3 linked regions of the Tribolium castaneum genome follow. The protein of the gene in region 2 binds, or shares a complex with, the protein of the main gene of each other region. Links are inferred from orthologs where the notes say so. Each region holds a gene or a part of one and is shown on either strand. Other genes may lie near its edges. The genes, in order: MED23, MED16 and MED7.

Region 1 (8,346 bases), on a different chromosome or scaffold from region 2:
AGCCTGTGGTACCGCTGCTGAAGAACATAACAGCAATGTCATGAATGTCGACTTTTTCCGGCCTAAATGTCTTTTCTTCTAAAGAAGGTGCGAGTAAATCGGAAAACGTATCATATTTAGTCGAGTTTCCGAAAACTACAATTTCTGAATTCAAGTTTGCCTCACTTAGACATTTTTCAATCAAAGGAACTGACTCTTCTCCAACAAAGATAAGGCGAGGTGAGACAAGAGACAATAAATGTTTTGTTTGTCTAGTTGACAGTGTGGGGTCTAAATTTGCGACTTTGGCTCCCAGATACAAGGACGAAATAATCGGTATGGTGTTATCAAGAGAGTTGTAACTACAGAAAGCCACCACGTCTTTTGAATTTATCCCTTTCTTCTTCAGGTTTATTGCTAGTCGAGTCGTTCGCTGTTTGACACTAGAGTAGGTTTCGGACTGATCCAGATCAGCATCTATCTACAATTTTTTAACAACTAAATTATAATATTTGCCTTGAATTAATTGATACTTACGTGGCAAATTTTATTGCCGTTTTTCTCAGCATAATTAAAGAAGAAATCGCCTAAACTTGTGTTGTCTAAAGTAGGTTTGAATTCTGCACCTTGCAATATATTGTTTCGCATCATGTTGACACTTTAAAGGTACAAGAAGGAAGCAGTGTGTCTTATAGTTTTCGTCAACTTTATATAAGTTATCTGTCTTCATAAAATGACTAAGCGAAATCTTCAATAGATAATCAGCGTCAACTATTATGCTGTGTGTGGTAACAAAGTAAAGACTATACCCCTGCTCTAGTTTTAACGCAAATATCACACAAAGAAAAGGAAAACAGCATGACAATTGCTTTCAAAGTATGAATAAACTTTGATAGGAGACAACATAGTCAACAACTTTATGTACAAGATCAATAAACTGAAATAATGTTATCAAGCATTTATTTAATAAATCAAAAACTGAAAAAAAATGTGTATTAGCTGTGGCATCAGGCTTTTCTACGGGTGCATAATTTGATTAAAAGAAATCCACTTTGTGCAATTTATTTAGATAAAATTTGTGTTGATATTATATAGAAATCTGCTGCAATAAGTAATAAAGTGTGAATACTCTGTAGCATTAATTAAACTAATGTAGATGTTTACATGCAAATAGCTGCAAATTTTCTTTTTCTTCTTGCAATTCGATTTAATTATAATTGAAATTTATTAAAGTTGTTTAAATATGTATAAAAATAAATACTTAAGCTAAAATCGTGTTTGCGTAAAGATAATTAGGTATATTGCTCAAAGAAAACAGAACTTTGGACATAATAATGTATTTGGTTAATACTAATCTTATTTGCTTAATAAAAAATGTGGTAATCATGTGAATGTTATGTATGTAATTTTTATAAAATACATTAGGTAATACCTAACTATTGTTTTTATATTTACATCACTAAAAATAATGGTTGTTTGTCTAGACAAGTTGTTAAACAGATTTTAAATTAATATAAAATGTACGTTTAAGGAAGATTCACATTTTTTTTAGAGTGGGGGCAATGTGTTTCAAATTTAGAATTAAAGAAAAATTAAATGAAATAAACATTTTGTAATAAAAATAAATAAATAAATAACTCAAAAGCGATTTCTATTAAAGTGGTTTGGTATAAAAAAAAACATTACTAATAACAAAAAATTTTTGAAAGTAATTAATTAATAATAATTATTATAAGGATTGGTTTACAGAAAGCAAATTAAAAATTAATCCAAAATTAAACTAATTCGATTTTTTATGTCTTTTATAATGCTTGCAAACTGTATTTGGACTTCCAAAAATTGTATGTACTTAGTAATAAGGGTACAATAATGTAGAAATTGTTTCTTTTTAATTCATGCAGAACACAGAAGCTATCGATAAATACCAAATTTTCTTCACAAGATGAGAACCTAGTTTAGGGAGAAAAGGCTCAATTATTTTGTATGTGAATAAAATTAAGAAAAACGGTAGAAGAAAAATGACACGAAGTAATAGTATTGTATGTTCGTAATAATTATACCTATTGATAACAAAAACAATCCTCTTGTTGTGTTTTGTTCCGATAACAGATAAATTATTGCTAGAGCTAAAAGAAAAAACGAAATATTGATAAAATCGGTTTAAATAACAATTTTGTAGATATTGATAAGATTCCGCGCCTGATTAGGCACAAATGCAACACAAAATACACTCCACAAACCATACATTCTGATTTTATATCTGTTTGTTAATTTTTTTCTTTATGAAATTTGCCGAACTTGAAATTTCAGTGAGGTAACAGGGGTAATACTTTTTTTTAACTGTTTGTCTGTTACTTTTACTCCCCATTTCTAACACAACTAGTTGTGAGTGTAGGTAATGCAATGAAATAAAACGAGGTTTTAACTCAATAATTTAATAGTCATTGAAAATATGGTAATTACACAAATTGTCTCCTAAAATTAAGCATGGAATGGTTACAAAAGAATCTCATTATAGGCATCTGTGCGTAAAGTAGTACCACCCAATTCTAGTACAACTTATGTAAAAATACACTTTATACATGATAAAAATTCTGATAAAATTATATTCCACAAACGATAAATTTACAAAATAAGTATAGAGAAAACAACAAAATGCAATAACTGAACAGACACGGTTTATACACGATAGGAATTGAGCCTTTGAGGGAAGCCTAGCCTACGCCATCCGAATGGACTGGATAATCTGGAAAATCGCCGATCCGCACACGACGAAGATGAACAGCGCCAAGATCATGGGCCCCACTGGCGAGTTTTCGCTTTGCTGCTTCTGCAAAAGGGGCACCGTCAGCTCCCCATCAACAAACAATATGGTCCAGCGTACTCACCGACGATTTGGGCACATTCCCTCGCAAGACCACGTTCTTGCTGGCCTTTTCGTTGGCGAAACGCATCCGCTGTTTGGGAGCCATCGTTCACAGGAAAAAAATACGGAAAAGTGGAAATAATTCAACAGAAAAACATACACACGCGTTTTTGACACGTCCGTGCCTCGACACTGGCCCGAAAAGTGCGGAGAGGGGCAAGGGAGGCGCTTTTTTGACGTTTATTTGACACGTAAGATGAAAATGCGCATGCGCCACGGACGCGTGGAGAATTTCAAACAAGGGAGGGAGTGCTAGAAATTTCCAATGGGTTCATTCAATTTGCAATAATTTATGATAATCAAGTATATGCCTAGTTTTCTTGGTCATTTTCCTATCTTCTATGCATTTTTTTCAAACATCAAAAACAACGTTGAATTTGACTTTTTACCCTGATTTTTAACTCAGATTTTTCAAAAAACAAAAATTTTAAGGTGCATTTATTTCGGCACAAATTTTACATAGATATTGTAAAGGTTTCGTTACTTTTTTGTCAGTATTTTATGCGGTAAATTATGGGAACGTCGTTGAAAGTTACGGATCTTCTGGGTGTGTTTGCGGGAGCGATTCGGTTCGTAATTAAGGACAAGCGTCTCAGACTGTTTCTGAAACTATTCATTCTTGAAAAAGTCCTTTCATTCATGGCATTGGCATTAGCCATGTTGTTGAGGAGCTTTAGCGACATTTCAGGGATTTTCAAAGAGTGGACTTCGGGATTATTATCCAGCCAAGTCAATAATTGTTTCATAACTTTCACCTGTTGGTCAGGAGTGACCTAAAGAAGGATAATTGCACGTTTAATTGCAACAATTAAATTGTACCTTTGTTAGGGCTTGTCGAATTAAGAATTCATCTTTCGTCGACATCCAAATAACGGGAGTTCTTTTGCTGCAAAGCCACATGTAGTTTGATTTCCCAAAAATACTTTCCGCACATTTAATTTGTTGAGCGTGCATTAAAATTTGCACCTAGGGAGAAGAAACAAATAAATTAAAACGATTTAAATGAGTGACACCTCACCTGTTCTATGAACTGTGAGTTCATATCGAAATGTGAGACAAAAAGAACTCTTTAAGCGCATAATGAACGAGACGTGCGGTAATAATATTGCCTTTATTAAAAGATAAGCAAACAAATTTTCACGTATGAAGTGGATATGCAAATAAACGAATAGATTCGGGCTGATATGAATTTTATTACAATGTGGCTAGGTATGGAATAATTTAGATTGACGTTGTTTGAGAGTTGATAACATCTTACAACGCACGCAATTATTTATTATCTCTGAGGATTCACCCAGCAAGTCAAAATAATCGAATACGGTTCTGCAGTGTTAGGCGCTTGTATAATGTGTTGCCTAAACATGTAGTCGGCCAAACATAACCTACCGTTATTATCCCATTCAAATAACCACAAAATAATGTTTTCGCCTGAAAAATAACCGTGGACACGATGGGCGAGCCACTAACAAACGTCCTAACCGACATTCTCAAAGTTGAAGGCATCGAAGAAGCCTTTAGTTGCTTTCTAGTGCACCGCCCCAGTGCCGAAAAGGAAAAGGTGGCTGTATGGCAACAAGAGTTGAACACAGCCCTGCGGAGCATCCCCCAGGAGCAGCTAGACACCGCCCTTCGCCAGTACCTCAACACTGCTGTACTATGTTCCCAAAGCAAGCTCCAGCTCTTGATGGAGCTCCTGGAAAGTGTCGTGCGCAACGGTACCATTGGGGCCCGTATCGTGTGTGAGGTGGTGATGAATTTCGATAAACTACAACACACCAATGCGCGGTTCTGGATCGAGTGCTTTAAACTCGTGCGGAAAATTATAGATTTGGTTGAATACAAGGGCGTTCGCGAAATTATGAAAGTAAGTGGGGAATTGTTGTGGTAATTGTTTGATTGTTGATTGTAGGGATGTTGCGAGAAGGCGAAAAGTCTCCCCTGGCGCTTGAACGCGGGCTTGCAGCCCCAAACCCAGGCTCTTTTAAGCGTCGCTGAACGAATCATGGACAGGAACGCGTGCCTCCTGCCTGGCTATCTCCTAGTGAACGAGCTCCAGAAGGCCTACCCTGACTGCCCCCACTGGCGCCTTGCTGCCCTCTTCTCCGATTACGTTGGCAGTTTTCGGGCCTGTGCCCAAATGGTGGCTATCGTAGGCCAGGCGGAAATGCGGCCAGTTGTGGAGCACAGCGGCTGTCCCGAACACTTGGTCAATCCCTGGAAACTTGACCCGTGCACGTTGCGATTCTCGCTTAAGGGCACTTTACCGTACGCTCCCGAATTACTAGAGAAGCAAACCGGTTTATTACGATACGTTCTGGAACAGCCGTACAGTCGCGACATGGTGTGTGGCATGTTAGGGTTGCAGAAACAGCACAAGAGACACTGTGCCGCCCTTGAGGAACAACTGGTCGAGTTGGTGATTTTGGCGCTGGAACGCACGGAAAATGAGGGCGATGAGAGCGCCACTCAAGGGTTATGGCTGCACTTGTCGTCCCAGTTAATTTATTTTGTTCTTTTCCAATTTGCGAGTTTCCCAAACATTGTTATATCGTTGCATTCGAGACTGCAAGGGCGCGACTTGCGGAGAGGGCGCGACCAACTCATGTGGGTCCTCTTGCAGTTTATTTCCGGTTCGATTCAGAAGAACCCCCTCTCGAATTTCCTCCCAGTTTTGCGGCTTTACGAACTGTTGTTTCCGGAACAGGAGCCCCCTTTGCCCGTTCCGGACTTCAACCAGCCCCAGTGTACGAGACAGATGGCAATGACGTGCATTTGGATCCACTTGACTAAGAAAGCGCAAGCCGAAATGACCAACTTGACTTGGCCAATTCCCGCCAAACTACGCAACCATCATGATTTCCTCCAACAGTTGGTGCCCCCTAATAACACCGTGTTAGCGATGGGAAATGACTACAGAATCGCCTTGTTGTGCAACGCCTACTCAACGAACCCCGATTATTACAGTAAGCCAATGGCAGCGCTAGTTGAGACGATCCAAGGGAGCCCCAAATCAACAGCCCCACCTACCGCGCCTTTAAGCATGGCCGTCTTGGACTCATTAACTGTGCATTCGAAAATGAGCTTAATCCATAGTATTGTCACACACGTGATTAAACTAGCACAGGCCAAGTTAGGAATGCCACTATCACCAGCTTTGGTGGAAACGTACAGTCGCCTGTTGGTGTACACCGAGATCGAATCGTTGGGCATCAAAGGGTTCATAAGCCAGTTGTTGCCAACCGTATACAAGTCACACGCTTGGGGCACCCTTTACACACTTCTGGAGATGTTTAGTTATCGGATGCACCACATCCACCCCCACTACCGTGTCCAGTTACTCAGCCACTTGCATTCGTTGGCAGCGGTGCCGCAAGCCAACCAAACCCAACTGCACTTATGTGTCGAATCGACCGCTTTGCGTCTAATCACGGGGCTGGGCAGTGGCGAAGTTCAGCCCGAACTGAGCCGCTTTTTAGCCGAACCCAAGACGTTAATTTCGGCGGAATCGGAAGAGTTGAATCGGGCGCTGGTTTTGACCCTAGCTAGGGCCACGCACGTGACGGGGGCCGACGGCTCGTGGTGTCACGAGTTGCTGGCGACCATTGCACAAAGTACCCCCCATGCGTGGGCCCCCCACACCCTCGAATGCTTCCCCAGGGCTCTGGCCGAGTTTTTCACGCAACATGCCGTCCCTAAAGAAAACAAACAACAATTGAAGAAAGCAGTGGAGGAGGAGTACCGGAAGTGGTCGTCCATGAACAACGAAAATGACATGATGGCGCATTTTGGGGTTGCGGGAGCGCCCCCACTTTTCCTCTGTTTGTTGTGGAAAATGCTCCTCGAGACTGATCACATCACGCCAATTGCCTACAAAATCCTGGAGAGGATTGGGGCAAGGGCGCTTTCGGCCCACTTGAGGAAGTTTTGTGATTGTCTCGTGTTCGAGTTTAGTAACAGTCCTGGGGGGCAACATGTTAACAAATGCGTGGATACGATCAATGACATGATCTGGAAGTACAATATTGTGACAATCGATCGGTTGGTCTTGTGTTTGGCGCTGCGGACGCAGGAAGGGAGCGAGGCTCAAGTCTGTTCGTTCATCATCCAGTTGGTGTTGCTTAAAGCTACAGAGTTTAGGAATCGGGTGCAGGATTTCGTCAAAGACAACTCGCCCGATCATTGGAACCAGACCAACTGGCACGAGAAACACTTGGAGTTTCACCGGAAATACCCCGAGAAGTTTGCCCCCGAGGAACAGTCAAGTGGTTACCACCCCTATTTTGGCAACGTGTGTTTGCGCTTTTTGCCGGTTTTTGATATAGTGGTGCACCGGTTTTTGGAAATACCGCAAGTCACCAAAAGTTTGGAGATTCTGTTAGAACACTTGGGTTGTTTGTACAAGTTTCATGACCGTCCGGTCACTTATTTGTACAACACTTTGCACTATTACGAGACTAGGCTTAGGGACCGTCCACCTTTGAAACGACGGTTGGTGGCTGCTGTCTTAGGGACACTCAAAGACAGTCTTTCGGAGCCCTACCAACTGTACCTCGGACGAGCTGCTGACGAGATGTGGACCCCCGAACTGGACTATTACATACAAGTGGTCAAGCGAGTCGTTGATATTCTAGGGGGCGCCACTGCCAATTCCGTAATTGATTGGCGGTTCAATGAGTTCCCAAACGCCGGGGCTCATATTCTTTACACCAGCTGTGTGGAACTGATGGCGTTGTCCGCCGGTCCGGTGGCCGTAGCCAACGGTTTGCTAGACGTCGTGGCCAAAGGCTATGTCACAATTCCCTCGTCAGACATCCACCAGTGGGTCAATGCTGTTGGTTTAATTCTGGCAGCGCTTCCAGTTAGCTACTGGAGTGTTCTACACGATCGACTTGTGGCCACGTTAAACGAGCTAGAAACGTGGAATTTTGACTGTTCTCCCTTCCGTTTGTTCGATTTCAAAGAAACCCACGCTGGGCTTTTGCATAATAATTTTAGTTATATGCTAGCTTTGGCTCATTCGGTTTGGCATCACGCTGGTCCGGGGCAGATCGCCAGTGTGCCCCGATGGGCGCGTGAGTGTTTACCGGCTGTGGTACGGTCCGAAGAACAGTTTCTCTATGTTTGTCATCTTGTGGGGCCCTTTTTGCAACGGTTTAACGTGGCAATAGTGGAATTGACGAGTGCTTTGTACGAACTGTTGGCACAAGTTGACCACGCGCACAGCGAGTTGAAATATATGGACCCGATCTGCGATCTCTTGTACCACATTAAGTACATGTTTGTGGGGGATAGCATGAAGAAGGAGTTGGAGACTGTGGTGCGCCGGTTAAGACCGCCTTTGCAAATGAGGTTGAGGTTTATCGCACATTTGGCGATTGAGGAAGTTAATGCATCGTAACTCACTTGTATTATGTTTTTACATTTACGTAAATACATTTTTA
Region 2 (8,346 bases):
GTCTCTGAAACAATGTTATTTTATCGCCTCCACCGCATGACCCTTGCCTTCGCTGTCCTTTCTGATTTCGCGGAACCTGATCGATATTTTCTCGTTACTCAGATCGAAAAACCCCAGCCGGAGGGCTTATCACACCGCACAAGGGACCAATGGGAGATCGAGCGTTCTTCGCTGAAATTCGTCCGAAAATTAGGCCACGGCCAGTTCGGCGAAGTGTGGGAGGGTATGTGGAACAACACCACACCCGTTGCAATAAAAACCCTCAAACCTGGAACGATGGACCCGAAAGATTTCCTCGCAGAAGCACAAATCATGAAAAAACTTAGGCATCCGAAACTGATCCAACTCTATGCCGTTTGCACGGTTGAAGAACCGATTTATATCATCACAGAACTGATGCGAAACGGCTCGCTGTTGGAACATCTACAGGGTAAAGGCAAAAGTCTGAAATTGCAGCAATTGATCGATATGGCCGCACAAATAGCCGCCGGAATGGCATATTTAGAATCGCAGAATTACATACATAGGGATCTAGCGGCGAGGAATGTTCTCGTGGCCGATAATAATGTAGTGAAGATCGCCGATTTCGGACTCGCCAGGCTTATAAAGGTTGGTATTATGATATTTAGAAGCACGCGGAAACGGAAGATGGGAAAAAATACAAGTAAGAGTTGGAGAAAGTGGTGGTTTATTCGAAGTTTGAAGATTCTATCAGAAATTTTTGCGAGGCGGAGAAGATTGAAAGTTGGATTTTTTGCGGGGAGCACTGCGGTTTCGGTGCATAAAATTAGTTCAAATTTTAATTTTTTATACAACTGAAATAAAGAATTTAATAGTCGCATAAATAAGACCACAAACCGCAAATTACTGTTCGAAGAGATAAGAACAGTAGATGCGTCAGAAAGTGAAGTAGGCCGTCACGTTTTTCTGATAAAAAGGCTCAACTGTCAATAGTTGTGAAACAACTATCAATAATTTGTATTGATAATTGGTTATTATTAATATTTTGCACAACCACAGAGTTTTTCACGTCGCAAGTAATAAGCTTCCAAAAAATATTTTGGTCTTGAAGAACAGAAAAAATCGACAGTTGGCGTTTTGTCACGGCCAGGTCGTTGGAAAAAATTAGAATGCAGTGTGACGTCATTGGAAATTCAATTCGTTGCAAATGTGGGCTTCTAATAGGAGACGAGGCCATTTTTGAACACAAATCTATTTAAATATTTAACAATAGTCGGTGTGTCCATGCTTATTTGAATTGTTGTATTCGCAAATTAGTACTTTAAGGCAGTCAAGTCTTTTAAAAAATGAATCATTTGCATAAACATTGAACATTGACACATTTGCGATTTTTATGAACGCAATATTAAGTAAAATTTTGTGTAATATCAACAATTTAGCGCTAATAAAAACACTTTCCGATGTAATTCTAAAAGAAAGAGTGATTTAACCTTGCTTTCAAGTTTAAATGAAAGTACTTTTTATCGCGTTATGTTATAATACCAAATTAAAAAGCGTGTTTACGGAAATTAATTACTACGTGAAAAGTTTGGTAGCTTCGTTGGCCGTGACAAAATAATTCGGTTTGTCAGGGCCGTCTGCGCCAGTCATAAACGTCTTTCGGTTTTTATGTGCCGTTTGTGACCTCATTTGGGTCATAAACGAAAAGTGGCCTACATTTAACGGTTTTTGTCGTACAGGAAGATGAATATGAAGCGCGAGTCGGTGCAAGGTTCCCCATAAAATGGACGGCTCCCGAGGCGGCCAATTACAATAAATTTTCGATAAAATCCGACGTATGGTCGTTTGGAATTCTCCTGACTGAGCTCGTCACATACGGCAGAATACCATATCCAGGTGAGATATTTCAATTGGTCGGTAAATTGTTGATTGTCGATTGTTTAGGTATGACCAATGCCGAGGTGTTGCATCAAGTCGAGCACGGGTATCGCATGCCGTCGCCCCCCGGCTGTCCCGCGCCGCTCTACGATATCATGTTAGAATGTTGGAACCGTGACCCAATGAAAAGGCCGACGTTTGAGACGTTACAGTGGAAATTAGAAGACTTTTTCACCATGGAAGGTTCAGAATACAAAGAAGCGTCGGCTTACTGAGGTCACGCCCACCCCCCTGCTGACTGGCTGCGTAATTCGATTGACTTACACTACCATTAGTGGGGAGGTGGATATCTATTTCTATGTAACAATAGATAGATATGCCCGTACTCTTATTTCTTGTCGTGACTATGCTTGTGTTTGAAATAATGGTTTGTGAAGTTTTATCAGATTTTTACACGTCGACTAGGTATCACAAACCACTATTTTGCGATTTTAATTTTAAACTTTGCTTCCTTTTATACATCGTGAATGGGGCTCTTCGCTCTGGCTCATCTATTTTTAAATATTCTTTATATAATAATTTATTTTAAGATTTTATGTAATTTTATAGTGAAATTCGACAACGTTAAATTTTCCCCGATTGAAACTTTTAAACGCACAATTCGTGTCTACCAATAAGAATGAAACGATGTGTAATTGTTGCTTGTGCATATTACCTAATTCCCCTAAGTACTTACGCTTTTGCATTTATTTTTTAAAAACGAATAACATTCCTCTCAAGTGACACTATCCGATATCTCTAGCGTTATTTCCCAGATGCCCTACAGTTATTAAAAATCGGTACTAATTTATGAAAGGCGTTGTTTCTTGGTTGTTTTAGTCACAACTTATGTCTTCATTATTTTAAGATTGTTATTAAAGGCATTGTTTATACAGTTATAGGCCATTATGAAAATATTTTTTGTATTATACACTTAGAATATACAATAAAAGTCCTTTACAATTTTCGTTGCAATTTATTCAAACCACCTCCACGAAATAGAGTTTGCTAAATTCTTATAGCACCCACTGGGGCATGACTACTTTAAAAAAAGGTTACTAAATCAGGGGTTTTTAAAGCAGTCGCATGTGGACTTGCTTTACTATTGCAAGGTTTGAAAAGGAACTGAAATAAGACATCCAGTATTTAAACACCAATATCCAATTAAACTCCGCCCAGGTGGGTACTTCTCGTATTTGGATACTTTTATGTTGTCCCTCGTAACGTTGGCAATGTTTCGCGCGCAACCAGTATTGCATCTCCCGAGAATGTACACTCATGAGAATTCTCTACTAATCGCTAACCTTTTATTTTTTTTTCTATCCATCAAACCTAAACTCAGAGCTTACACAATTCGAACAACACTTCGTAATTTACTTTTGTGAGCAATTTTATGAGAATAGAAGATTTCTCGTCAGCGTACATTCACGCGTATGCCCGACAGCTGTCAGGTGTCAAAAATCTGCCAATTCAGTAAAGTTTTAAAAAGATGCTTCATTAGATAAATACCGAAAAATGGACCATATTTTCACCATTAATAAGAAAATAAATAAATCGGTGGACACCAGCAAGCATCTATCATTCACCAAGTACCGCCCAAACGAAAGTTAACCATTTACCAACCGTTTGAATTCCAGACTCGAGAAGTCAACCTTATGCTCGATTTCAAGCTCCAACGTTGTTGCTTTCAGCACGGAATGCAATATCGAAGAAGCGGGTTCCCTCTTTTGGAACTCTAATGTCTACGTCTGCGATTTAAACAGTCCCTGGCAGGTCCACAAGTACGTCCCCAAAAACACTTTCCTGTATTAAACCTCCATTTCCAGAATATTATCAAACTCTTCCCCCATTTCGGTGCTCCAGTGGGACTTTACGGGCGACCTTCTGCTAGTCGCGGACGAAAACGGCTCGATAAAAATTTACAAAGCTAAAGACCACATCCTAAATGACTGGACCCTTGTCCTCCAGACTGTCCTAGAAGGGGAGCACATTCTGTCAGCGGCGTTTTTCCACTCGGGCAAGAAAATCTGCCTCAACTCTGAGAAAAAAGACAGCGCTTTGTACACGGAAAAGTTTCACCATGTCAAGTTTGCCTGCTCTGTTAAACAGTTTGGGGGGCGCCCTGCCAGTGGGGCCCTGCTACTCACAACGACGGGAATGTTGTGCTCGATTTTACTCCCCCAAAGCACGAGCCAGGTCGCAATGGTCATGGCGACAGAAAGCCTGGCCCCTACTAGGATTTTTATCAAAGCTGCTGATATTTGCTATGGCAAAAGTAGGTTTTTTACAAAATCATTTAAACACCAAATAATGTTATTGTGTAGACGGTCATTTTTTGCTCGCTGTGAGTAACGGAGACTTATCAATGCCTATTCAGTGTTATAAAGTCTCTGTCAGGAAAGCTGAAGATAAGTGTGTCATCACAAGCCAGTCTTTACTCAGTTTTTTTCTATTTGAGGCGCCTAAGGAAGCATTAAGTAACAAACTGAGTCATTTAAGCCGTTGTTTAACGTTTGTTTTAGTGGAACAAGTTTCCAAAGAAAAAAATTGCCACATAAGTCATATCAAATGGATAATGAGAGAGGACGCAGATTCGGTGGTTGTTTCAGCCACTAGTGATAAAATAAGCTGTTTGCAAGTGTGGGAATTGAGAGAGAAGGCTTTGCCGGTTCACAAATCACTAGGAAAATCTGAAACTCCCCAGTTTTTTAACACTGTCGTACGTCTATTATCTCATCATGTGATAATCGATACTTACTTATTTTTTAGTTGTGGCAATACCAGTGCCACTTCCAGTATAACAGCAAGGTCACTTCACTAGCTACAAGTAAACTAAGTCTATTAAATAATGTTTCAAGTGGTTATGTCGTGGCCACATTTGCCGACAATTCCATCCATTGCCTCTACAGAGACACTCTAAAACATTTGGTCAGCACCACTTTGACCATTTGTCCGCGTTATTTTGACGAACCTCTCGCCAGATACCCCAAAACTAGCATCAAAATCTCAAACATTGACATGTCCTGGCTCGGCAATATTTTACTCGTGATTGATTCAGACGATAGTCTGCATATGTTTAAGTTACCGCCCCAAATCGACAGCTCAACGCCTCTAAGTGTACCTTACTGTACCACGATTTTAGAGTATTGCATGATGAGCGGTTTTGATTGGTTAGACTTGTTGCTAGTGTTAAGACCTGGAATGTTGGACGCGATATGTGACCGACTCACCGAAAGTTTTAATCGCCAGCCCTCGGCAGTGCAACAGTTTTTCTACGTGCAGTATTTGTGCATGAAAATATCGCTATGCAGGTAGGTTCCTAGTTTACCGACATTGGGTGACAAAATTTTATTATTTAATTATTGTTTTAAATAGAAAGCTTATGATTTTACTGTATTTTTGTATTATGCGAGATATTTTAAGGAGTTTTTACCAGTTTTTTTATAGCAAAGTTAACAGTTTTTGTAATATTTATATTTTTTTGATTTGCACCTTCTTTTTCAAAAATCGAAGTTCCTGTAGAGTATTTCAAAGAAAATGATTAGATTTTTTTCAAATTTTAAATTCCGTAAAGAGTGACAAACTCTAAATTTGAAAGATTACGTTTGAAGAAATTCAACTACTTAAAACACAATTTTGCCAAATTGATTCTTTCTTTACTAAATGAAGAAAAAAACTACCAGTAATTTTGCATCGAGCCAACTATAACCACCATAATATTTTTCAAGTTATTTATAAAGCTTAGGGTTACATTAAAAAAAATGAGATGTTCCCAAACGTAACTTTAAAATGTTTTTTTTAACTTTTTTGAAAACACCAATAAGGGAATAAAGCTTTCTCTTCTAAATGCCCAAATACGATTTCGAAATATTATAAATGACAATGTTGTCGATTTTTGAAAGGGAAGGTGCAAATCTAAACAGTTTTAAAAAAATATAAATACATATCTAGAAAACAAAAGGAAACATAAACACAAAATATTTGAGAAAAATTTGAGTAGCCAAAAAAAAGCAATAAAGAATATAGCTTTTCACTAAAAAAAATGTTTCCAATTTCTGTATAAGCGGAAGTGCCACCACCTTGAAAATATTTTGATACCTGACTAAACAAATTTTTTGATGAATATTGTTATTGGAACCGGAAACACTTTTAATGTGTGCTTTAGGCGCAACACCTCGAATTTTGCGAGTAAAATTCATCTTCCGATATCTGAACAAGCTGAAATTTTGCATACACACGTAATTTCTGTGACATTGCAGTAGTCTTTAAGTTTATAATTTAGATAATTTAGAAGTAATTAGCAATTGTCTGTACTACTACCTTCGGATATCTAAAAGTTAGGATTTTATGTCTGTGGTTACGATATGAAACGATGTGCAAATAAAGCGTTCCCGTCCTTGCCAGAGAGCGCTCTTTTTGCATTTCCGTATAAGTTTTGAGAGCAAAAAAAATGGTTGTATTTGTTTAACGGTAATCATATAGTAAACAAAAAATGCAGCCAGATAGTAAGACATAAACATAATACAAAAAATTTAATTCATAACTCGAAGCGACAATTTTTTGCACACCGTCGCATATTTATCAAAATATGGTTCGAGATACAAAATAAGTTGTAGAAAATTAAGTTTCTTATAAAAAAAAGTGCGCTATCTTCTGTAGTTTAGGTATAAATTAACTTTATGTTACTTGACCACCGGTAAAATGAAACGAATCCTTCGCTTCAACGTGTTTGAAATTCTTTAGGGCCTAAACCGTTGACAATGGAGATATTATCGTCTCGCTGACTTTTTTAAAGGAAATTTAATTCTCTACATTTTTTTTAACATTTTTCTTGAATCTAACCGTATCCACAACGTTTTGAAAAACGGGACGAAGCGCATATTTTAAATTTTAAATAATTTTTTTCTCATGTTTCTTAGTCGTCACTTTCTTAGTTTGTGAACCTCAACACTTTTGCATTGTTTTCCAAGTAATTAGTGAATTGGTTAGATTCAAATTAATTTAAAACGATTTGGCTCCGAGACGGTATAAAATCTAGCGTTTTTGTATCTCATTTACTAATCTTCTAAGTTATAGTCTGTATTTATCTGGATTTCAGGTTGAGCGTTCAAGGCCAAGTGAAGGCTCACGATCTGGCTCAATTCCTGATGCTTCACAGCATATCTACAGCCTTTAAAAGCCTTCTAAGACCAAGCGAGATGAGCAGTCATGACAAAAGTCCAGCTGATTCCTTAGCAAGTCAGTAAATCATTCAGATTAAAATTTGATTTCTAACTTTGTAATTGTTAGATGTAATTGCGGAAGGACAAACCGACGTGGATAAGGTTTTGATGCATCTCGAGGCGAAAGAATTCACCGTTGAACCCTCAACTCTCCAAAGTTTGCAACAACTCATCCAATGGGTGGCCGACTTGGCTCTCAATTTATTGGTCAAATTGCCAGATAGTCGTCCTTCCATGGGAAAGGTGTACGAGTTGTTGCGCGATGTCAAAGCGTTGAATATGTTGAGAGAAATGCTGGTTTTGATCCGAATCTGGGGGCTTTTGAGACCCGCTTGTCTCCCAGTTTTTATCAAATCGGATGGAAGTTTGGACGTTTTGGCTCTTCTGTTCCGACTATTAAGCCGATTGGTCCAAAACGTGAACGAACCAGATGATACTTTAATTGGTAAGTAACGAACAGACTTGAGCGCATTTATCAGAACAGGAAGTGCGATAACTGCTTCCTCTCAATTTTTTGTCCGTTATTTATTCCGGTTTTAAACTTTCAAACGAAATGTCGATGTTTTGTGCCAATTTCTTCCCGAAAAATTACAACACCAATGAGAATCTTTCAGAACCGTTCAAGTTCATCGGTTTGCCGCTTTATTGTGTTTTATTATTTATTCTGTACTGGTTCCTTTACTGTCCTCTAATGTTCGTCAAAGTGTCACATTTGAGTCGTTACTCAGATTGGCCGACAGAATGGCCGTATTATTTTTGGCTTGTGGCGCTAGTTGTTTTTATAATTCTGGTATCAATATTGGTGGTGTTATGGAAAATAGCACCCAAAAACAAAAATCACTTATTTGAAGTTAATTTCATTGACGATGAAAAACAGAAAACTGTGGAAGAACAAACGTCGCTTATTATTTGTGACGAAAAGAAGAAACTTGAAGAAAGTGCTACACAAATGGAGGATGAAAAAATCGCGACACCGCTAACACCGCTGACCCCGCGCGAGTTGTTTTTCTACGATTTGATCGAAAGTGCCAATAAATCATTCAATTCTTCAAAGACCATTGAACAAAATCGCACAAGTGCCGGAGACAAGTCCCAAGAGTTTTTTATTGCAAATGTTTCGCCAACGAGGACTTGTGTTTCGAACGTTTTCCTGTTTGTTAACCCCGGTGACGACCCAAAACCAGACACGATTCAAGAAACTTGCTCTTTGTAATAATATAAATAAATAAAATATTTTGTATATTTT
Region 3 (6,889 bases), on a different chromosome or scaffold from region 2:
TCCATCTCTGCCCTTTCAGAGCGTTATGATAGGATATTTAGGGTCGAAATCTCTACCTTTATTATGTACTATTGCCAGATAAGGACAAAAGTTCAGAAAGTAGGGTTAGGGTGTATTATGCTCTCTTCTGAAGTGTTAAATTTTAACTTTAATGTTTTTTGTGTGCTTTCCTGCTCTTCTAGAGCGCTATTAATTATTATTAAACATGTTTAAGGACAGACAAATCTACCTTGAGTCAACGACATAAATTTCATTGAGATTTATTGAAAAATGCACTTCTCGTGTCAACCTTTTCATGAAAAAGGGTGTTTAAACGTTTATAAAGGGTATGTTAACGTGTGTTGTTAACTTTACCACGTAATAAAACATAAAGTATAACTTGGTAATTTTTTACTTTAACTACTTCTGGATTTTCAAGCTGAAACTTACACCAAACGATTCCTCTGAGTGCCCTGATGACCGTACACTATGAATTTTCTTGTGCAAATTGAAAATAACATTAGAAAAATAATTTTTATTTTCACTCACTTTTTACTTGAATCGCCATTTTTGTTGATTTTAATTTGAGTTTATTTTTTATAATATCACGTTAATTTTTATTATTATAGTGGATCAAAGTGTCGTCTTTAGGTTAGACTATTGCCTACTATCGGTTAGGAACAACATGATCTCCAAAAATATAACGTAGTAATGGGCTCCAGAAGGTTTACGTAGATAGGTGCGTTTTTCCCAAAAGTGAGTTTTTTGAGATCGAACCGCAAGTGAGTCACACTGCGAGGAGACTCCCATAGACAGAAGTTGCAAACATAAGGTGCCAGACCGGTGCCAGTTTGGCTGATTGCAAGTATGTCTTTATCATCGATTCGGTGACGACTATTAGTTTCGTAAACTTAATGGATTTAATAAATATCTTTAACATTAAATGTGATCGTGTCATGTTGGGTAAAATTCTTCCATCTGTGCTGTCTGTGCATCCACCTTTTCAAATACAATTAAGAAATTTTCATAATAATTGTATTTGATAAGGTATTGGCATCATTTTGACGTGAGCAAAAATTAAAAAAATATAAAGTAATCGGAATTATTTTAAATTCGCGCCATTTTTAGTACGTGATGATGCGGCTAGATGGCTTCAGCTAGGAATTCATTGCCAACCATTATGTTCCGCTTCTATAAGTGTTATTCTAGGTTTTGTTTTCTCTGTCGTGGTATTGGTGAACCTATAGATCGCGCCACTTTTGACGTGAATAAATAACTACACAGTATGTTTTGAGATGTATTTATCAATTCGTAAAATAACATTTAACAACATGAAATCATATGTCAGACTATTAAGAAGGTAAACATGGAGATTCCTTGTCTTCAGCAAGTTCCATCAAACTGGACTTGATTTCTTTGCTAATCTCTTCTGCTTCTGGCACCTCAGATATAACCCATGTGTCATCGGTACTTTCCAGTTTTTCTCTACAAATCGGGCACGTGTCATGAGTGGCATTCCTTAAAAAAATCTAACAGTTACTTGAATAACAAAAGTATCATAGTTGATTTTTAATAACATTTTTTTCCGATTTCTGATCAAGTTCAAAAAAACAAACCATTCCTCAATGCACGGCAAGCAGTAACTGTGCATACAGGGCAAAATAACTTCATGCTTCCTTTCTAAACAAATGCAACATTCTTTTGTGTTCTCTGCAGGACTGTCCGTAATATCGTGAACCACTTGTGAGACGGACATTCCACTAATAAAAAGTTAAATCAGTAAAAAACTTTAGCTCAACAGTCATACTTTCGGCTCTGTTCTTCAGCTGAAGACTGACATTTAAGTGTCTTGAACACTTTTAAAAACTCATAAAGGTTTAACAGTCGGTACGTACTCACTTTTTGAGTATTAGAGTCAATTTTAACACAAGCTATTTGCACCGTAGCTTTCCAGAAAACTGTAGAATCTGTCCCTTTCTTTACAGCAAACACTAACTGTTTCCCCTCGGAATCTAAACGCTGTTTGGAGCTAAAATAGTACAATGAATAACAACCACACAGGAACTGTTATTACAGTTGGTTGAGTTCCCCAAGTATTGTCAAAAATTTCTCGTAACTAAGAGTATGAATTTCTTCAGAGAGTAAAGTAAGCACGGGCTCATCCGTGATTATATCGTTAAAATACTCGTGAAATTGGGAACTCTGTTGTCCCATTATTACACGAATTAATCACATGTATTATTGTAAACAATTTTGACAAGTGTCACAATGACGTCTATAATGGCGTCCTCTATACAGGAGTAAAGGGAATTAATAAAACAATTAACGATCGACAAGGTTTTATTTGCTGATCATGCCTTATTGTAATAAAAAACTTAATTTATTGGGGCGCTTTTCCTCTCCCAAAGCCTCCTCTCTGTAACAAACCGTGGTAAAAATCGTCAAAAACCCCTACCATAACTTACAAATTCCAAATCAGCGGTGCCAGCCCCCACATCAGCCTTCTTATCAGATCCAGGCCCCCCGGGAGTCCGCCTGTATCCGGCACGGTCTTCGGCAGGCTTACTGGAAGTTTCTGATTTGAATGGCGTGGGACGAGCACGCGTTGTTTCGGTCCTAGCTTGTCGCTTGAGCGTTGAGGGCACAATTTCAGGCGGCAAATGCAAAATGGTCCTCAGGTACTCAATACCGTTATTTGTCAAATACCAGTAATAGTGCCGCCAGGCGAATTGTTCCTTAACGTATCCCTTCGATTTCAAAGACTGCAAAGCTTTGATCACCTGCAAGTTGGGAATACTTTCCAATTCGGGGTGTTTAGGGGCATGGGTGTCTTTCTTAGCCACCATGACGCCCTCCTTGAAGAGGTATTCATAGATCGCGATCCGGTTCTTTTTGGGCATCAACATCCTAAAATCAACCGTGGTTGAGGTTATAAAACATGTCAAACCCTAACGTGAATTAAACTCCACAAAAAGGGCTAAGATTCACGATAAAGGAAAAAAGAATGATCTGTGATTGATTTTCGTCAAATTTATTACAAAGATGATTAAGATAAATACGAATTTTAAAAAATAGCTTACTTGACGCGGTATTACCACAGCTGTCAAACTGAAAAAGGAACAGGCTTGCCAATAAACTAGTAATTTTAGGTTTTTGTGATGGTTTTTATGTAATTTTGACATTTGTCGTTTGTCAACAACTGTATTTTTCTTAATTATTGTATTAAAATAAATAATGGCATCGTCGGAAGCGATCCAGGTGAGTTCCCTGCCACTGCCCCCCATGCAGTACATCAACCACTACACGGACGAGATGATCCGGCGGGGGCGAACCCCCAGGCCGCCGCCTCCGATTCAAGACACGTATCATATGTTCGGCAATGCCTTCAATACCGAAGAGAGCATAATCAGGCCTTTGGAGAGTCAAGTAAGTCCCTAAATACGTCCCGTGGTTAAAACTAATAATTTTATTAGGGAATCAAACGTTTGTATCCACTCCACTTTGATAGACGAAGGGAGTTGAAAAAATTAAATCAGTCATTGTTGGCCAATTTCTTGGACTTGCTAGACCTACTTGTGAATTGTCCCGACTCGCCAAAGCGGGCTGAGAAAGTCGAAGATTTAAGTCTGTTATTTATTCACATTCACCACTTGTTGAACGAATTCCGGCCACATCAGGCTAGGGAGACGCTTAGGGTCATGATGGAGTTGCAAAGGCGACAAAGGATTGAGACCGCCAATAGGTTCCAGAAGCATTTAGACAAAGTTATGGAAATTTTGCAACAAGCGATTCAAAACCTGCCTGAACCCATGGAAGTTGACTCAAAGTTGCTCGTAGAAACCGAACTTTTAGTAAACCAAGAGAAGGCTTCAAAGGAGGACAACAAATCAGACCCGTGCTTTATTTTGGATAGGATTATGTGCAAGATTGTGGATGATATGCAATAAAGTTAGTTTTCCAAATGTTTTATTGAACTCTAAGACAATAGAAAACATATTCTGTTAAATTTCTAGAGGTTTTACACAAACTATTAAAACCAGCACACGTTTTAACTTGAACTAATTAAAAAAAATAAGATCTAGGGTATTTACAACACAAGCGGGTTGTGTATTGTTTTGATAACTTACTAATAAGCATTGAACATAATGATTTGAATTGCATTTCTGCAATACTGTTAGAAGGGTGATTGAAATTAATTTCTCCAATTTCTGCCCCTTCCTCGGGAGCCACGGCCTCTCGACCTGTTACCTCGTGAACCCCCACGATCTGAAACCAATCATTAAAACAAATAGACATTTTTCCCATAAAATTTACCGTATTGGAAGTTATTACTAAACTTTCCACTAGGTGGTGTATACAATTTAACGTTGTCGCCCGAACGAGCCGGTCGGGTCTGTTTAGTCCCTGTAGAGCCATTATCGAACGTGATAGGCACATGTCTTTTTTGCCCACTTGTGGCCGGTTTCCTCTGCAAATTTTAATTTTAAAGACTAGAAGACTAAATCGAAAATCCCACCAATTCCTTTTCCACAACCTCCTGCTTGAAAGAAAGCGTGACGTTACATTTGTACATTGGGGGCTGGTAGAACAAGTCTTTGATCAAAACGTTGATGTTGTTGAGTAGCGAGGGCGCAATTTTGGCTTTTGAAGCGTTCACGGAATCTAGGCCTGTGATCGGCTTCGAGTTCAGAACTTTGTTGCAACCTTGCACTCCTCTAGAAAAATAAACCAGTCTTGCTCTGAAATCTTTCAATATTTGGGGATCATGAGTGAGAAAATCGGGGCACTGTCGAGCCAAGCGATGGAACGCGAACAACAAACACTCTACAAAGGAGAACTCCAAGTTGGGCATTTTGTACACATCGGCGTTTTCGGGAGGCGTTGGCATGTACAGCTTGATTTTGTCGAAAATTTGGACTACGTGCAAGGAGGGGTTTTCGAACTTTCCGCAATAGATGCTAAGCTCGGCCAAGTGCCGCAGGAGATGAAGCTGGAATAATTCGCCTTGCTCCAGAGTGGCGATTTTGTCCCACTGGGGGAGAATCTGGTCGCAGTAATAAGCCACGAATTTTGTTGACTCGTTTTTTGCCTAAAAAACACAATTAGAGAGGTGACAAGATGGGAAAAAATTGTTACTGAAAAAAATGGTAAAGCATGTGTGGTGCAAATAATGACCCTGTCAACAATGCAGTCTTCAAGCGGGTCAAAATCCCGGTCAAGTTCCATGATTTCGGAAATGAAATCTAACAGTTCTTGTTGACCTGCGGCCGTTTTAGCGTATTTTGAATTTTTTAAGCAACTTATTATCAACACGATTTCCTCAGAGCTAATATCATCCTGCAACTACATGAATAAATTTTTTCACTTCATTTTGGAAAGTTGACAAACTTGTAAAAGCTTTTTCGATTCTTCTACTACAATGTTCTCGATTTCTGTCGGCTGGCTTTCAATGGGCTTGATAAACTTCAAGTGAATAAATTGGAGACATTTAACTCTAGCTGCAGCGCTGCTTAAAGAGCGAATATGATTGTACATGGTCCTAAGAACATTAGCAGAGTCTTGCTTCCACAGCTGCAAAAGACACCAAGACGCAGTTGTGAAGTCTCGCTGTTCCTCCAACTGCATCATTTGGGCAAGGATATCAGTGACTTTAGTCAAATGTTCCTTCACGTCCTTGCAAATTGAAACCAAATACCGCATGGCACAAGCTCTAATCTTGCTCTCCTCATCTTCACACAAGTCCAGCAACGCATTCAACGCTTTATCTTGCAGTGAGGGGAAGTGTTTGAAAAATTTTGAAAGTATTTGTGCTGCCAGCATTTTCTCGCTTTCGGTGCCTTTAATACCTTCAAAGCTCTCGACATATTCGCTTGAATGCTGCAAATTCATGTTTTACCAGACTGGGGGAAAAATGTCGTGCTCACCTGGGAGACCTTGTCTTTGGCATCTGACAAAATGTTATACTTTTCGTATAACTTCTCCAAGTTGTCACTCATCTTACTGTTTTTTCGATAAATCTATTAGTCGAAATGTGGTATAAAACATGAAATAATTTCGTGGCGTTTTTATGTAATTCTATTCGATAATTTACACAAACTTGATCACAAACCGGTCATCGTTGTTTTAGCGTGCCCATCGTCCATTTTGAATCGCCGGTATTGAAGGAAACTGTTACAAGGCACAGGGTTTGAACTACTGAGCGATAGATGGCACATCCATAATTAAATTTAAAAGGGTGATTTACGTAATAATTTTTTTACCAGTAATGGCGGATTTAAGATGCAAACTTTTACTAAAGTTTCATCTTTTAAATAAATACCTTCAATTAAATTCCTACCATTCTGTTCGTTCTTCGTGAACCAAGTGTATATTAAATTAATAAATCAAAAGTAATTTTATAGTATGAAGTTGTGAGTTATGACACATTATTTCATAATATTTTAAATTTGTAACACTGAATAAAAAGCTATCTTCAATGTTGCCAACTTCAAAATCCCGGTCACTTTGATCTCCGATTTAATTGAGAGCACGTTACAAAAAATTAAGGACAGAAACATTTAAAAAAAGTTTTTATTTTCATTTATTATTTTTTTAATAAGATATTTTACAGTAAAAGGTAAGTTAAAGATTTAAAAGTGGGGGATAAGAAGAGCAATAATTATGAAAGTAATGGTGGCAATTTATTTGGAATAGTGTGCAATATAAAAATTCAAAGCGCGTCGCATCAGCATGATATGAAACCTCGGGAGGCATTTCAACACTGGCGACGACATAAATCAAGAAGCGCCACGACGCTAAGCGAACCTTTGGGACACATTTCAAGCACCGCTTTCGATATGATTCATAGACTGACAAATGGGATAACTCTATAATAACACTTTGAATTTGTCAAATGTTGTGGTTTCAAACT

Evidence for each region.
Region 1: MED16 (region 2) and MED23 share a complex: the UniProt entries of both Homo sapiens proteins name them as parts of the mediator complex. The link is inferred for Tribolium castaneum from reciprocal best matches to the Homo sapiens genes MED16 and MED23.
Region 3: MED16 (region 2) and MED7 share a complex: the UniProt entries of both Homo sapiens proteins name them as parts of the mediator complex. The link is inferred for Tribolium castaneum from reciprocal best matches to the Homo sapiens genes MED16 and MED7.

What each region holds. Positions count from the first base shown.
Region 1 is NC_087394.1:35,202,614-35,210,959, reverse strand, and holds the start of MED23 (mediator of RNA polymerase II transcription subunit 23), read left to right. Parts: upstream 1-4,355; coding exon 4,356-4,769; exon of another isoform or gene 4,770-4,814; coding exon 4,815-8,303; 3' UTR 8,304-8,346. Other genes in the region: uncharacterized protein LOC657935, read right to left, coding at 1-460, 517-630; stress-associated endoplasmic reticulum protein 2, read right to left, coding at 2,699-2,809, 2,868-2,951. UniProt on the Homo sapiens protein: Required for transcriptional activation subsequent to the assembly of the pre-initiation complex. Component of the Mediator complex, a coactivator involved in the regulated transcription of nearly all RNA polymerase II-dependent genes.
Region 2 is NC_087396.1:16,565,077-16,573,422, reverse strand, and holds the start of MED16 (mediator of RNA polymerase II transcription subunit 16), read left to right. Parts: upstream 1-3,276; 5' UTR 3,277-3,393; coding exon 3,394-3,467; intron 3,468-3,515; coding exon 3,516-3,659; intron 3,660-3,704; coding exon 3,705-4,153; intron 4,154-4,202; coding exon 4,203-4,355; intron 4,356-4,400; coding exon 4,401-4,597; intron 4,598-4,647; coding exon 4,648-5,189; intron 5,190-6,976; coding exon 6,977-7,116; intron 7,117-7,167; coding exon 7,168-7,545; intron 7,546-7,977; coding exon of another isoform or gene 7,978-8,015; exon of another isoform or gene 8,016-8,346. Other genes in the region: tyrosine-protein kinase Src42A, read left to right, coding at 103-609, 1,701-1,857, 1,906-2,114. UniProt on the Homo sapiens protein: Component of the Mediator complex, a coactivator involved in the regulated transcription of nearly all RNA polymerase II-dependent genes.
Region 3 is NC_087402.1:3,007,218-3,014,106, reverse strand, and holds MED7 (mediator of RNA polymerase II transcription subunit 7), read left to right. Parts: upstream 1-3,213; coding exon 3,214-3,405; intron 3,406-3,452; coding exon 3,453-3,926; 3' UTR 3,927-3,941; downstream 3,942-6,889. Other genes in the region: RING finger protein 141, read right to left, coding at 1,332-1,497, 1,596-1,739, 1,787-2,008, 2,054-2,193; small ribosomal subunit protein eS10, read right to left, coding at 2,360-2,395, 2,445-2,885; cass (apoptosis inhibitor 5), read right to left, coding at 4,172-4,245, 4,294-4,447, 4,496-5,068, 5,116-5,322, 5,368-5,856, 5,904-5,975. UniProt on the Homo sapiens protein: Component of the Mediator complex, a coactivator involved in the regulated transcription of nearly all RNA polymerase II-dependent genes.